2 linked regions of the Notamacropus eugenii genome follow. The protein of the gene in region 1 interacts with the protein of each later gene in a pairwise test. Links are inferred from orthologs where the notes say so. Each region holds a gene or a part of one and is shown on either strand. Other genes may lie near its edges.

Region 1 (7,960 bases):
GATATTAAATTAAAATGTTAAAAAAAAAAAAAGAAATCCATCCAAACTCAAGGTCAAGGCCAATATAACTTGAGGAATATCCAGCCTGAATGAATACCTCAGTCCCCTAAAGTTCCATGTCAGTGTTCCTGTGGGCAGGGCCAAGCCTATGTTTTTCTGATAAATCACAGGATCATAGAATTGTTACTAGATCGTCTAGTCCAATCCCTTCCTTTTTACCGATGAAGAACTGGAGCCCTAGAGAGGTTAGGTAACTCACCCAAGATCCCACAGTAAATGGCAGAGCTGGGATTTGAACTGAATTTCTCCAAATCTGAATCCTACAGATCCAAATTCCACTGTTCTACCGTACCTCTTCACATTTCATCAGCCTAGCTTGTTATTATAAAAATATAATGAAAAGTAATGACTACCTTTTTTTTAAAGAAAGTTATATAATGTCACTACTTCTGACGGGCCTGGTTTTTAAATAGTCTAAGTCAATAACATTTTTATTATCTCTATAGATACACAGGTTCATAGGATCATAGATTTAGACCTGGAGAGAATCTCAGAGGTCACCTAATCCAACCAATTCATTTTACAAAATGGGAAAATGAGGCCTAAAAAAAATGAAGTGACTTCCCAAAGTCCATGTAGTAAACTAGTGGATGAATCTTTAAAAAATGTATTTTGGTTTTTTACACTGCCATAATTTCTCCCAGTATCCTCCTTCCCCTCCCAGAGAACTATTCCATATAAAAAATAGTATTTTTAAAGATAGGAAAAGAAAAAAGAAAAGGACAAAAATCAGAATAACTGATCAATGCGCTGAAAAAAATCTGAAAATACATGCAATGTGTAACACGTGTGCACCTCCCATCTCCTCAAAGAGGCATGTGTGATGGAAATGTCTTGTCCTGTCTCTTCTTTTGAGACATGGGTGTATTTTATAATTTTGCAAGATTCACTTTTGATTTTTTATATTATTGCTCTTTCCATTTATACTGTTGTATACAGCGTGTGTATTATTTCTTGACTCTAGAAGATGTATCTTAATTAGAACCCATGTCTTTTGACTCCCAACCTGTTTCTACGCTTCTTTTTAAAAAGAGAGACTCAGGAATTTCCTCACACACTCTAATAGGCTGAACTTGTGAGCCTAGTGTCAGAAAGTGGTGCAAATCACACCTTTCACTAGACCCAAATAGGTGGTACCCTCTTCTGGAGATCTCTGGAGTGACTGCCAGTGGTAGTGGCTACATAAGCAAGAATGTTGTCTCTCTGAACCTGGGCAGAACTCGACCAGACTTGTGAATGGAAGTGATTGGATAGGGTTCTGACAGCATGGTTACATTCCACTCTCCTTTTCTTCAGTGCATCATTTTTCTACCCTTGTCTAATAATGCTGGAATTGGAATTCCTGTGAGCAGGTCCAGGAGAAAGATTTGCCTCACAAAGGGAGAACAAGAAATTTTCCCTTGCAAATATGAGTGAAGAGTTATTTATCATCCTTACTCCTGCTGGTGTTTGGAAAGAGGCATTCATCCCTGTCACCTCATGTGATAAAATTAATGAGTAAACCCTAGAATAAAAAAAGATTAAGCTAAATTGTACACAGAGGCAATAGTCAATCTTTCTATGTAGCACAAATGTCACCATGAAACTTCTTAACCCACAACACTTGGGACTAAAGAAGCATCAATCATTGGTTGAGATTTTGTGGGATATATTTTCCCAGAGGACTGTTTATGTGCCTGTGTGATGACATCACTAGGCAGAGAGCTAGGAAGTGTGCTCTTACATCAGAGGTTTTAAAGGAGTCTGCTGGGTGAAGGGAATAGACCTGGAGAGATAAGTCAGCACAGACCACTGTGAAGCAGTATAAGCATCGTGGCTCTGGAAATAGGAGTTATAGCTGGACCATCATACTCCAGAACTGAGACAAAAACTTTCAGCCAGCTTTCCAGTACACTGCAAGAAATGGCTGAAAAGGATGGGATGGAGATAAGCATTTATATAGAGACTACTATGTGCTAGGCACTTTACAATTATCATCTCGTTTGATCTTCACAGGAACCCTGAGGTGTGGGTGCTGCTATTATCCTTATTTTACAGTTGAGGAAACTGAGACAAAAAGGTTGTCTCCCCAGTAATAAGTGAGTGAGATTGGATTTGAACCCAAGTCTTCCTAACTCCAGGTATCTCTCCCTCCTTCTATTTACCTAACTGCCTCAGGTCGATGACATTGTACTGTGAACATTTACCGTTGAAGCTATGAGATCAAATGAGATCATATATGTAAAACACTTTGCAAACCTTAAAATGCCACATAAATGTTAGCGATTATGGTGAAGACGATGGTGGTGGTGGTGGTGGTGGGTAGTGATGATGGTGATGATGTTGAGGATGATGAAGATGTGACTGTCTCCCACTATGCTAGGGAATCAGGAATTAAAGAATTAGACTGAAATTTCCCTGGACATATAGGATATTGCAGAAAAACAATTTATTGTTTGATTCCTTTCCTTGTTTGTCTTTTTTCACATCTCAGTTAAGAAACTAATAAAACTCTGTTTGCCTCACATCTACAAAATGAGCTGGAAAAGCAAATGATAAACCACTCTAATATCTTTGCTAAGAAAACTTTAAACGGAGTCACAAAAAGTTGGACATAACTGAAAAATGATGAAACAACAACTGCAAAATGCTTAATACTTGTGGACTCACTATCTTGTATTGTATGTAAATATTATTATGATGTAGTGAAAGAGAGAAATTTTTCACTGGATTGGGGTTTGACTTGTGTTCACTAGTCTGTTTACCCCAAACAGCCACATTAAATGTGGGAATAGCATGAGGTGCTACAAGCATACCCATACAAACATCATGCTCAATAGGAGATTTTTAAGACACCTTTTTAAAATTAATGATGACACCATTTTTCTATTCACAATTCACAGCACATTTGTAGAAACTTGTAATAGCTGCCTTTTATGAACCCAAATGTATATAGAATATCCCATAAGTCTTAGTAAAGTTTAGAGCTATTAAGCCTTAAAACTACACTAAGACTATTGGGACACCCTGCATTTACTAGCATCCCCCGTAACCAACTCTGATCTTATTCCTATATGCTGGACTACACACCTTTTATTACTAAAGACTTCATTGGTTTTCATTGGGGTAACTGAATTGCTTCCATTTGAATTGTCTTAGGAAGATTCTAAGGATCACCTGGCAGGATAAGGTACCAGACACTGAAGTCCTTGCTCAAGCTGAACTGCCAAGCATTCAAACCATGCTTCAACTCCAGTGGGCTGGCCACGTTGTTCAAATGCAAAATGTACGATTGCCAAAAAGACTATTTTATGGAGAACTCGCATAGGGCAAGCAATCACATGGTGATCAGAAGAAGCGATACAAGGACACTCAAGTTCTCTCTCAAAAAGTTTGAATTTGATTGTGCAACATGGGAGACACTGGCGCAGGACCTCTCAGCATGGCATGTCCACATCAGAAAGGGTGCTGTGCTCTTTGAGCAAAGCAGAATTGAGACAGCACAAAGGAAATGTAGGATGCATGAATTTGGGGTATCCACCCCAAATATTCACACAGACTATCTATGCCCAACCTGTGATAGAGCATTCTGAGCTTGTGCTGGTCTGATCAGCCACAGACAGACACACTGAATTTTCATGTTATTATGGTGATGTCATTGTGGTCTTCTTCGAAAACGAAGGACAACAACCAACCAACCAACCATTTTCTTTGAAGTTCAAGGTGCTGATTCCCCTGAACTAGATGAATGATATATGTGCTTGGTTAAAGGAATGATACATGTGCTTGATTAAAGTGATTGTTAACCCCTCAAAAGCTGCCTTTCCTTTTATGAATGCAGATCTAAGAACCTGTGATAGCAGGCCTCCCTGTGTGTGTTGGGGTGCTTACTGACACAGTCTTCAAGAATGGCTGTGGCTGAAAAAGTCATTACTCTGAGGCCAACCTAGAGATTCCTTCTGAGGTCCAAATCTAAATATATGATCCTATGATTTATTTAAAACTTTGGTGTTTTCCAGTGAGGTAGGTAGTACAAGTATTATTACTCCCATTTTGAAGATGAGGAAACCGAGGCACAGAAAAAATACGAAGTGACTACTAGGGATACATAGCTGGTCAGAGTCAGCCCAAATTCTAGGTATAACTGAAGAGGTTTGGGGGTGCTTGGGGGTACTGGGACCCAAAAATGCCAGGGTAGAGTTCCCTGGAATGAATTCACATGCTCAAGCCGTCTTTTAGTCAAGAGGCAGTTTATCATAGAATAACAGAAGCCAATAGAAGAGGGCAAGAGTCCTTATAGAACCTACAAGAGACTGAGGATAGTGTTGGGTTTTATATGGAAAAGGGGCATGGAGAAGGAATGCCAGGGTAGATAATTTAAGGGTCCAGGTGTCCTTGGGAATTATGGATGGGAAAGTGTAGGGAGTATGCCAGACATTGAAGGAGAAAAGAAAGTTGTGTTTTTTGTTGTTTTTGTTGAGTTGCCAGAGGCATGGACCTTGGGCAAGCACCACAGACAAGATCCTTGGGCAGGCACCCTGGGAAAGAGTCCTTGGATCAGTATCCCTGTCTCTGTCTTAGTAAAGGAATTAAAGAGGGAGGCATGCAACAAGGGAAAATTTTCTCACAAAAGGAGTGGGGTGGAGCTGGGTTACTTTCAGAGAAGTGGTTTTAGAGCTTTTGCGGGTCCACATCCCACCTCCCCATCATAACTCTAAGCCAAATGTTTTGTTGGGGTTTTTTTTAATTGCATCATGCTCTCAAGGACATATCTTCATTCTTCTGGTATCGTCTAATGTAGGTAATTCTCAAGATCTTGTCCAGCCCTGAGATTCTCTGATTCTATGACATATAGCCCAAGGTTCTAGAACTTCGTGTCCTGAACGTCACTATAGGACTCAAGGGGAACATAAGTGGTATGTTTTCCACACCAAAGTCCAAGAAGGACAGAGTGAGGAGCAAAAGAAGTTTGGAGAAAGATCTCTTCTTAAGGATTCTTCTCTGGTGGCATCAGATTTGTAGAGATGATAGGATGTGTTGAACCTGACCTAAGAAAGGTGGATAGAATGAAAGAGATTGAGTCTGGCCAGACTGGAGAGGATTAATCCAGAGAAGCAGGTAAGATCAGTGAAATTTCCAAGAAAGGAAAAAAGAAATAAGAAATGTTAAAGGTTATGGTTTAACAAGTAAACTTGAACAAGGAAGGAAGAGACAGAGACAAAGACAGAGAGAGAGAGAGAGAGAGAGAGAGAGAGAGAGAGAGAGAGAGAGAGAGAGAGAAACTAAAAAAAGAAAGGCAAAAAAGTGATTCTAGTCTGTGGCAATGTTTCCTTCCTTTAAACTCTTGTGAGTTATTTTCAGTGGAATTCATTTGACAATCACACGTAGTCTTGCAACATCCCTTCTATTAACTGAACTACTCAAATCTTTCACCATCATGTGACTAGTCACATGCTGGTGCCTTGTTTCCCGCCTAAAGGGTAGGTGCCCCTGGAACACAGGCATTGCCTCTCTCTGGAGCCTCAGAGCACCTAGCACATAAGAAGTAATCAATACATATATGCAATTTGAAAGGGGAATGAGAAAGTAAAGCAAGGTCCAGGGCCCAGTGGGGAACAAGATGTGCCAGTGAGGAATATTTTGTAGCACTTATTCTCAGGAAGGACTAAAGTACAAATTCGGGGCTAGCTTGTCTGCCTGATCACTTGATTCAATCCTATGTTCCTACCTCTGAAGTCCTAAAATCATAGATCCTGAGCTGGAAAAAACTTTAGACATCTGCAAGTTCAACCCCTTCATTTCACGGATGAGAAAACTGAGACTCAGAGAGATTAAGTGACATCTGGCTCGTTTATTTTATCTAATATATGTCTGGGTCTGGATTGAATCTGGGTCTTTTGGACTGCAAGTCTGCCACTATCCACTAGACAACCGTTCCCCTCAAGTTACCTCTTTTAAGCTACCACCATCTCCAGAAAGATTTCCCTTTCCTAATTATCTAGGCAAAAATGAGCTGTTCCTCTTTGCACTTTTATCTGGATTTTACTTTCTCAGAGTCATTGTTTATTTAAACTACCCTCCTTCCTTCCCGTTTCCTTCCCTCCTTCCCCGCCCCCCATTTAGATCTTAAGCCCCTTGAGAATAGTATTTGTCATAGCTATCTTTGTGATTCCAGCTTCTAGCAGAGGGTGCTCTTCTTTCAGTCTCCCCCTCCATGCCAGACAAGCTCTTTGTCTGGCTCACTCTCTCCCCACTCCCTCCTCCGGCTGTGGCATTTTCAGCAGTGACTTTGCAGTGTTCTGGAGTCTCATTCCACTGGTGTCCTGAAGTTCATTGTGTCTCATTTTCTTGCATTCCTTCTCCAAACTTGAGTTTTTGTGCTTGCTCGCTGGCCGTAAGCAATGGATGTAGCAGTCAGTTGACATTTTTAAAGTTTCCCTTATGTGCCACGCACTGGGTTAAGCAATTGGGATACAAAGATAGGCAAATAAAAAATAAAAGAAAGCCATATAGTAATTAAGAAAATGTTAATAAGTAACCTTGATAAATAATTAAAATGTAGCAATTAAAAGCTCATTGATGAACCTGGGGAGAATAGTGGACAGTTAGATTGTGAGGGACTGAGGAATTAGTTGGGAAGGTTCCAATTTCAATCCAATGTTTTTCCAGTATGCAGTGCTGCCTCTCATAGCTATCTCTGGCTAGGTTCCTTTTAAGCAAAATAATTAGCCTCTGTAAACCTGATTAAAAGTATATTTTTTTTCCTTTTAGAGACTTCACTGTATTTTATCTTACAGCACAGGAGGGTAAGAGCAGTTAATACAATGTCAAATAATGGAAGAATATAAATTTAAAATTTGTGAATTACGATTTCTTTTTCTGCTCTAATGACAGAGTCCTGAGGGCCATTTCAGAAAAAAGCAAACAAAACCAAACTATAAAGACAGACAGACACACAGACAGACCATTCATTGCTAAGGCGTCAGATCACTGGTCCCCATCAGGTTAAGATGGCTAAGCAAAGAGAATATGACCAGAGCTGATTGGCTGGTGCTGTCATGATCAAAGGGCCGCTGTCCTGGGATTCTTGGGAATTCAGTGAGCTAGTTAGTGCCAGGATGCTAGAGAAGAAGGGACAAGTTACTTATTATTTACTCTATCTCCCTTCCACCCCACCTGCCTGCCTCTAGTTAGAAAGCAAACCTTATACAGTAGCAGATTTGCTTATTATTACTGTTATGACTTTTTAATACTATGTTTCTGCTTCTCCGCGAATGTGCCTTTGCTCATTTTGAAACTAGAACCGGCCGGACTTCCAGGAAGCTTGGGCCGTCAGGTCCGTTCCCCAGCTCAGCGGAGTGCGAAAGTAGAAAAGTGGCAGACTGCATACAGACTCTCTTAACTCTGCTTCTGGGCGATGACGTCACTGTGCAGGGACGCGAGAACCAGGAACTGGAAGCTGACTCATTTTTGCTCTCCTTTGCCACCCGGACACAACTAAGTAATACCTTCAGACCTGCTGGAAAAACAAGCTTCTGCTGGAATCTTCTGGAGGGTGGAGGGCGCAGGGTAAGTAAGACAAGAAATGTATGTTCCTGAGCCATGATGACTGTGCTGTGGCTGTGAGAGAGCTGGGAGAATTAGTACAGGACTAGATCTGTGGACAGCGCCCTCTGACACTGTCGAGGTAGGATAATGAAAAGCTTTAGAAAGACGACGTCCCCTAATTCACTATTTATTTGTTTGGATCTGGCTGCTACTGCTGGAGAGTTTTCCCTGTGCCAGGTCTGGTAACAAGTTACTTTGCAACGGGGAGGGGGGGGTAACTTGAAATGCAACTCTCCCTAAATTTCTTGCCTCTGTTAAGAGGGAAGATTTCCAGCATGTAGTGTTCCCCACAGTTCCCTCTACGCATCAGGAA
Region 2 (7,856 bases), on another chromosome or scaffold:
AAATCACTCTCTGGTTTTACGGTTGTTTGGTTTGGTTTTTTTGCCTGGCTTAGTCATTTTCTATGAAAAAGGGAAGATCCCCAGGACCACCTCCTGCCCTTACATGTCTTATCTATTAGATTTTCCCTCACTCTGGCCCTCAAAGAGAACCCTCCACCTTGTCAAAGATAAAGCCACGTCCTGCCAACAGGCCCTACAGAACCACACCCAGTGTAACCAAGCTCCTATGACAAGACTTGCCTCCAGGAACTGTTTCTCTTCCCCAGTCTTTGAACTCCCAGTCTTTCGCAGCACAGCCTTCAGTGCTCCTGAGGGGGAATCCCTGCTCAGCAGCCTGTGGGAACATCACCACCAGATGATTCCTGACCCTGCCCAAAGCTAGTTCTGTCTGTTGGGCGGTTGCCAGCTCACAGGATTAATTCTTATCAAAAAATAATTCTTCCTGAATTTTGTTTGACTATACTTATTTGCTGCAAGGAATTTGTTTTTTCTTTTTTTCTTTTTCAGTGGGGTGAAAAGTGAGAGGGAGATAAAATAGATTTCTGTTCATTAAAATAATAACATTTGATTTTAAAAAAGTAACTTCTTGTTGGGCTGGGACTTCTCACAGATAAAACACGATGAGCCATAAACTCAAACAAAAATTGAAATCCAACCCAACCTTCAAGACTTGGTTCAAATCCCAACTCCTTCAACTACTTGGGTATCAAAGGCTACCTCCCTTCTCTGAACTGTTAGCACATTTATAATTTATATACCACTTAACTGATTAGTAAGAAGGCAAGAGAATCATGAAGTTTTGGGTGCTAATAAAAAAGGCAATGATATTTTTGATCCTAGGATTCAAGATGGGAGGTCAGGGAGGAGTTGAGGCCTAGAGGTCCCCATGAAGGCAAAAACCAGTTCAGTCAGTGTGAAGGAGTTTTAGAAAGGGAAGGCAAGGACGGAAGGGAAGCGCCTTGGAGACAGAAAAGTTTGTGAATGGCAGTTTTGAATGACTTCGAGACTCTTGGAGATGAGGAGAGGTCTGGAAAAATGTAAAGAACAGGAAAAAGTCAGTGCTGAACAGTTTAGCATTAATTTTTCTTTAATTCTTTTATCTTTTGAAATTCTGTCTCTCTTTAGAGAGACACACAGAGTCTCTCTAGACCTGGTGGCAGTTTATAAACTGTAAACTCTGGGAGGGGAGCCTTACCTCCCATAGAAAGACCTGCAAGTAGTTGGACATATTTAGTCAATAAAACTGAGATGCATCAGGTCCTACCATAGGAAATACTGAAAGTAGAATCAGCCAGCTTATCCAGTGGCTACTGTGACATATCCCATGGATGCAGCCCAGAAACGAAGGCTTGGGAGAAGTAGGATTAGGAGCCTCTGAACAAGCATCCCTGCAGCTGGAGGTACCGGGGCTATTCCCCTAACACTTACTCCCCCTTGGTTTCAATGCTGTTGCCCGCAGGTCCAGAAAACACCACAGAGCCACCATCGTGGAACACGAGATACTGGCGGCAGAACCGGATACTCTCCATCCGATCCAGGTCTCGCTGGGTCCATTCTGTAAGGGGAAGCCCGGACTCTGCAGCCCCAGTTCGGCCTGGTTTTTCATCCCCGCCTCCCAGCCCAAGCCCTTTCCCCCCCAGTCCCCGCAGCGTCATCCTGCCGAAGAGGCCACCAGGCCATTGAACGCGAGCGTTAAAGCTGAAGGAGAACGTGGAGGTTCAGCCAGTACAACGCCGCCACTTTACGGACAAGTCCAAACGTGGGAGAACTGGCTGGAAGTCCTCCTAGCTCACGAGGTCATCCCGGGCACCGCCCACGGCCGTGACCCCCAGCCCGATCTCCGGGCCCCACCTCGGCCGTGACCCCCAGCCCGATCTCCGGGCCCGCCACGGCCGTGACCCCCAGCCCGATCTCCGGGCCCCGCCACGGCCGTGACCCCCAGCCCGATCTCCGGGCCCCGCCACGGCCGTGACCCCCAGCCCGATCTCCGGGCCCCACCTCGGCCGTGACCCCCAGCCCGATCTCCGGGCCCGCCACGGCCGTGACCCCCAGCCCGCTCTCCGGGCCCCACCTCAGCCGTGACCCCCAGCCCCCCCAGCCCGATCTCCGGGCCCCGCCACGGCCGTGACCCCCAGCCCGATCTCCGGGCCCCACCTCGGCCGTGACCCCCAGCCCGATCTCCCGGCCCCGCCCACGGCCTCCGGCCCCGCCACGGCCGTGACCCCCAGCCCCATCTCCGGGCCCGCCACGGCCGTGACCCCCAGCCCGATCTCCGGGCCCCGCCACGGCCGTGACCCCCAGCCCCATCTCCGGGCCCCGCCACGGCCGTGACCCCCAGCCCGATCTCCCGGCCCCGCCCACGGCCTCCGGCCCCGCCACGGCCGTGACCCCCAGCCCGATCTCCGGGCCCCGCCACGGCCGTGACCCCCAGCCCCATCTCCGGGCCCCGCCACGGCCGTGACCCCCAGCCCGATCTCCCGGCCCCGCCCACGGCCTCCGGCCCCGCCACGGCCGTGACCCCCAGCCCGATCTCCGGGCCCCGCCACGGCCGTGACCCCCAGCCCCATCTCCGGCCTCGGTTTTCCGCGTCCCCCGGGGCCACACCCCCCAGCCGCCTTCCTCTCCGCGGCCGTCACGCCCGCCCCGCACCCTTGGGTCCCTGGATCCCCGGATCGCGCGCCGTCCACGTGCCCGCAGGCCCCTCGGGGCCTCCCTGCCCCTCCCCGTGCGGCACCTGTGTGCACCGTGCGGTACTTGCCACCGTACTGGCTGGTGATCTCGGCACCCAGGCCGGCGGAGACCAGCGCGGGGTGGCGGCTCAGCGCGCGGTACAGCGCCGCGGCCTCGTCCGGCTCGCTCGTCAGCACCTGCGCGGGGGGAACACACGGGTCAGGCCGCGGCAGCAGAGCGGGAGGCAGCCGAACCGGAGCTGAAGGGCGCCGAGCCCGTACCTGTCGCTCCATGGAGGCGTCTCCCGAGCGTCCGGGGGCGGGGACGCTGCGCGGCCCGGAAGTGCCCGGGGAGCTGGGGCGCGCATTTCCGCAGCGCCCTAGGGCAAAGGGCTCGGCTAGGACCCGCCCCCTCCGCGGGGCGCCCCAATAGGAGGGGGAGGTGGGCCCGGAGTGGGTGCGGCTCAGGGAAGGCGGAGTCGGACTGCTTTCTCACCAATCTCCGCCGCTCTCCGTACGGCCAGGCCCCGCCCCACCAAAAGACACGCCCACTGCTCTCTGGCCCTCTCCTGAGGGGCGGGGCTTCAGGGACAAGGCTCTTCTGGTTGGTGGGCACCTTTCCTCCAGCCAGGCCCGCCCCTTCGGTTTGTCCGGGCCCTGGACGTTCAGGGGGCTGGCGTGGCCTGTCGGTGTGTAAAGATCCAGTCGTCCTGTTCTGTATCCTGCCACCGGACCCAGGTGGCTCCGGAGGAAGAGTGAGGCTGGTGACTGTGTACAGCCCTAGCTCCCTCCAATCCAGTTCAGTCCAAACCCAGACAGCCCCCCCTGAGGGTCCCGTCCTCTCCCAGAACTGGGGATGACGCGTCTTCTCAGCAGCCTCAGCCCCTCCGGCCCGCCAGTACTGGTCTGAGCGCTCCGAGCTAGGCACAGGAGACGCCAATGAAGGCGAAACCCGGCTCTCCTGAGGATCAGTCTAGCGGCAGAGGCAAGGCACGGGCAGCTACGTACAATGAGACGGAGACAGGATAAAATGGGCCAGCACCTCATCGAACAGAACCGGGAAAGGCTGTCTGCAAAAGGGGCAGCTTCGCCTGAGAGGAGAAGGAAGCCAGGGCAGCTAGGAGGCGGAGAAAGGACTTCATCTCCTTATTTTCATATCATTATATTAGGAAATAATCATCTCAGAGCGAGGTGGCAAACTCCTTCCGTACTTGGAAAGTTCCATGCTTTTATCTTTGGGTGAGCTCCAGGCCCTTCCCAGGACATAAGATCTTAACCTTGGAGTGGACTCTGTCCTGGTCCTACAGAGGAGGACTCAGGCCTTAGATAACTTAGATAACCGTTCTTAGTGATGACTTAGGGATTTTGTGGCTTTTCAGACGAGGGGCGTAATGATATTAACAAATGTGGTTTTGGGGAGATATTATGTAATGAAATGTGTCAACGTTTGGAAGCTCTGCATGATTTAATGGAGCAATAATTTCCAAATTTCCACGCTATAAAATCACGCGAGTAAAATATCCATTTGAAGTGCAAGATACATTGGGTTTTAATGTAACAGAGCATGAAAAGTTCACTGATACAGTTTCCTTTGCAACTAACCTTTAAGAAACTAGCACCTGTTGAGTTTTGGCATAGCATCAGAGAAGATATCCACAACGATGTGGAAAGGCTATTAAAATACTCCTCTTATCCAACTTCACATTTTTGTAAAGCTGGATTTTCTTCATATACTTTAAAACAATATATCATAACAGATGGAATGCAAAAGCAGATTTGAGAATCCATTTGTCTTCTATTAAGCTAGAAGTTAAAGAGATTTACAAATGAGTAAAATAATACTACTCTTCTCACTAAATTTGTTTTTGTTTTGGAAATTATGGTTATTTTTCATAAAAAATGTTATTTTTGTTAACATATGGTGGGTTCATTATTGTTATTTTAAATGAATTAATAAGAAAATGTTTTAAATGATTAGTTTTAATTCCTAATACAGTAAATATTGGTAGATGTAACCCACATAAACAAAAGCTCTTTGCAGTTCCCAATAAGGGAATATAAAGATTTCCTGAGACCCAAAATGAGCCATTGTGCCAAGCACTGGGGCCCTGTGCTAAATGCTGTCATAGGCTCTGTTCTTCTTCTTTGTCTTTCTACTATCTCATTAGCTCCCCAAAGTTCAATTATCATCTGTATGCAGATGATTCCTGGATCTATATATCAACCCTCATTTATCTGCTGAGCTCCAAAACACATCACCAACCGTCTACTGGACATTTCAAATTGGATGTCTAATACACATCTCAAACTCAATATTTCCCAAACAGAACTCATTACAAATGCCCTTAAATATGCCCTGTTATTGTCAAGGGTATCACCATCTTCCTGGTCACCCATGTTTGCAACTTTGACATCAACCTGGCCTCCCTGCTCATACCCATCTCCCCTATCCATTCAGTGGGCAAATCTTGTCATTTCTACCTTTACAACACACTTGTCTCTGCATTCCTACAGCTACTACCCTACTTCTGACTCTCATCACCTCTTTTCTGGATTACTGAAATAGCCTTTTAATGGATTTTCCTTCCTCAAGTCTTTCCCCAGACTGATCCATCCTCCACTCAGCTGTTAAAATGATTTTCCAAAATGGAGTTCTTCCTGTGTCACCTCCCTATTAAATAAATTTCACTAGCTCCTTATTAACCTCAGGATCAGATGTCTTTTGTTGGACCCCTGAAACTCTTCATAACCTTGCCCCCTTCTAGCTTTTCAGTATTGACTTACTTCCTCGAGGTCTACAATCTAGCCATACTGGCCCATTTTGGAATTGGACACACTGCCTCCTTCCTTTGTATGGCCTGAAGGAACTGGTTTTGCCTTTCTTTGTATTCCCAGCATCTGACATTGCACTTGTGTGACTTTGGGTGAGTAGGTGAACCTCCCCGGGGTCTTGGTTTCATCATCTGTAATTGATGGGGTTGGCCTCCAAAGTCCCTTCCATTTCCAGATTTATGGCTCTATAATCTATGAAATATGTAACTATTAACTCTTTTTCTAGCTATTGATTCACATGGTCCTTAGAGTTCTTGAAAAATTCTAGGGTCTTTTCATGTGTAACAGTCTAGACATTTCTTCCCCATTCTGGACCTGTATAGTTGATTTTTTTGAACCTAAATATAGAACTTTACATTAATTCCTATGAAATGTTCTGTCTCTTTTGGATTTGCTCACTGCTCCAGCCTACTGAGATTTTTTCATTTACTAAAGTAGTCTAGACCTCTTCTCCCAGGGGATATCCCAGGAATGGATAGGTGCAACCACTAAGCCCCAAAAGAATTCCCCCAGTCCCTTACTCCTGATGGGCATTCCCAATGTTCCTGAGCCTGTTTACCCTGTGCTGGTGCAGTGTAAAGGAGACCAGCTCCTTTTGTTTGCTCCTGAGCATAAAATAGCATATGCCCCAATATTTAGGAGCCACTCGGGTCAGTTCAGCGATTCAAGTTAATGAATTCAAGGAACGTTTGTTAAGTGTCTTCTATGGGCAAGGCACTGCTAGGCCTAGGAAAGCTTATCCTTGCTCTGATATGTTAGGGATTATAAAGAAAGGGTCTAAGGTGGCTGCATCTCAAACTGTTAAGAGATCTTCTTTTAATAACTTAAAAAAGGTAAATTCCCTGGGACTATGAGCTGTGTTTCTCTTCCTTAAATTCAGAAACACGTAATAGATTTTGAAACTGTTGTCTAATATATAGAGTTAGTCTACTCAGCTTCATTTCTTCCATGATTTCATAAGAATGCCAGATATGCCATTATCTAAGTAGTTGATAAAAGTGTGGAATGGTAGGGCCAAGGACAAAGCCCTCCCCCCCCCCCTTCCAGGGGGATTAATGATTAATCAGTTCATTAGTCAAAGATCAGGTGGGGGTAGGGGCTACATGGAGCTACATCTTAGGCAGATACAGATCAGACCTCCTGGGTCTTCTAGATAAGACATCACAAGTTTACCAAGGCAAATTACTGAACCCATTCAGCCAGTTTTCTAAGGTATCTGTTGAGGTCTCAGTGACCCAGAGCTTTCCAGTGCCTGAGGGATCAATAAACAGACCAAGCCATAACATGATTGCTTATGTTTGCAACCTTGGTTGCACCATGAATACTATGGTAGGTGCTGGGAATATAAAGGTAAGAGTGAATCAGTCCTTGAGGAGCTTACAATCTAGTGAATGGATACAAACATACATATAGATAGGAATATGCAAAACAGAAGCATGATAGATACAAGAAAATATTGGGAGGAAGGCATTAGTAACCAGGGGGATCAGGAAAGGCTTCGTTTGGAGCCTTCAGGAGAAGGTGGCTCGAGCTGAGCCTGGAAGAAACAAGGGATTCTAAGGATCAAAGGTAATAATAATAAATAGCTAACATTTAAACAGCATCTACTGTGGACCAGGCACTATCTCATTTGATCCTCACAACAACCCTGGGAGGTGGTTGCTACTAAACTCATTTTACATTGGAGGAAACTAAGGCAGAGAGTTTTAAGTAACTTGCTCAAGTTCCCACAGCTGTTAAGTGTCTGAGGCTACATTTGAACTCTGGACTTCCTGACTCCACCAAGTCCAGTGCACTATCCACTGCCCCACCTAGCTGGGCAGGGATTACATTTCAGATATGAGGGACAGCCAGTTCAAAGACATGGAGTTAGCTGGCACATCTGAGTAACTGTAAGATGAACAGTTTAGCCGGAGGGTAGTAAGTGTGAAGGGGAGTGATAAAACTAAAGAGAGAGGATGAATCCAGGTGGTGAAAGGGTTTAAATGCCAAACAGAAGAGTTTTGATTTGATCCTATAGGTAACAGGGAGACATTAGAGTTTATTGAGTAGGGGAATGACACGATCACCCCTGAGCTTTAGGAAAATCATGTTGGCAGCTGTGTGGATGATGGACTGAAATAGGAAGAGACTTGGGATGGGGAGGTTACTTAGGAGGCTATTTTAATAGTCCAGGTGAGAGGTGATGAAGACCTGAAGTAGGTGAGTGGTTGTGTGATTGGAGAGAAGGGAATGGATACAAGGAGGTTGGAAATGATAAGATTTGGCAACTTGATTGACTATGTGGGGTGAGGGAAAGGAAGGAGTGGGGAGAATGGGTTACTGGAAGGATGGTGGCATCCTCAAGAGAAATAG

Evidence for each region. The genes of interacting proteins can lie anywhere in the genome.
Region 2: the proteins of LGALS8 (region 1) and APEH interact in binary tests that used the Homo sapiens proteins (3 or more experiments, as listed by UniProt). The two-hybrid records come from large-scale screens. The link is inferred for Notamacropus eugenii from reciprocal best matches to the Homo sapiens genes LGALS8 and APEH.

Annotation. Positions count from the first base shown.
Region 1 is NC_092873.1:396,204,685-396,212,644, forward strand, and holds the start of LGALS8 (galectin-8), read left to right. Parts: upstream 1-4,927; 5' UTR 4,928-5,157; intron 5,158-7,340; 5' UTR 7,341-7,608; exon of another isoform or gene 7,609-7,726; intron 7,727-7,960.
Region 2 is NC_092872.1:6,242,366-6,250,221, forward strand, and holds the start of APEH (acylamino-acid-releasing enzyme), read right to left. Parts: upstream 3,051-7,856; 5' UTR 2,964-3,050; coding exon 2,952-2,963; intron 2,868-2,951; coding exon 2,735-2,867; intron 1,556-2,734; coding exon 1,429-1,555; intron 335-1,428; coding exon 241-334; intron 1-240. UniProt on the Homo sapiens protein: This enzyme catalyzes the hydrolysis of the N-terminal peptide bond of an N-acetylated peptide to generate an N-acetylated amino acid and a peptide with a free N-terminus. It preferentially cleaves off Ac-Ala, Ac-Met and Ac-Ser.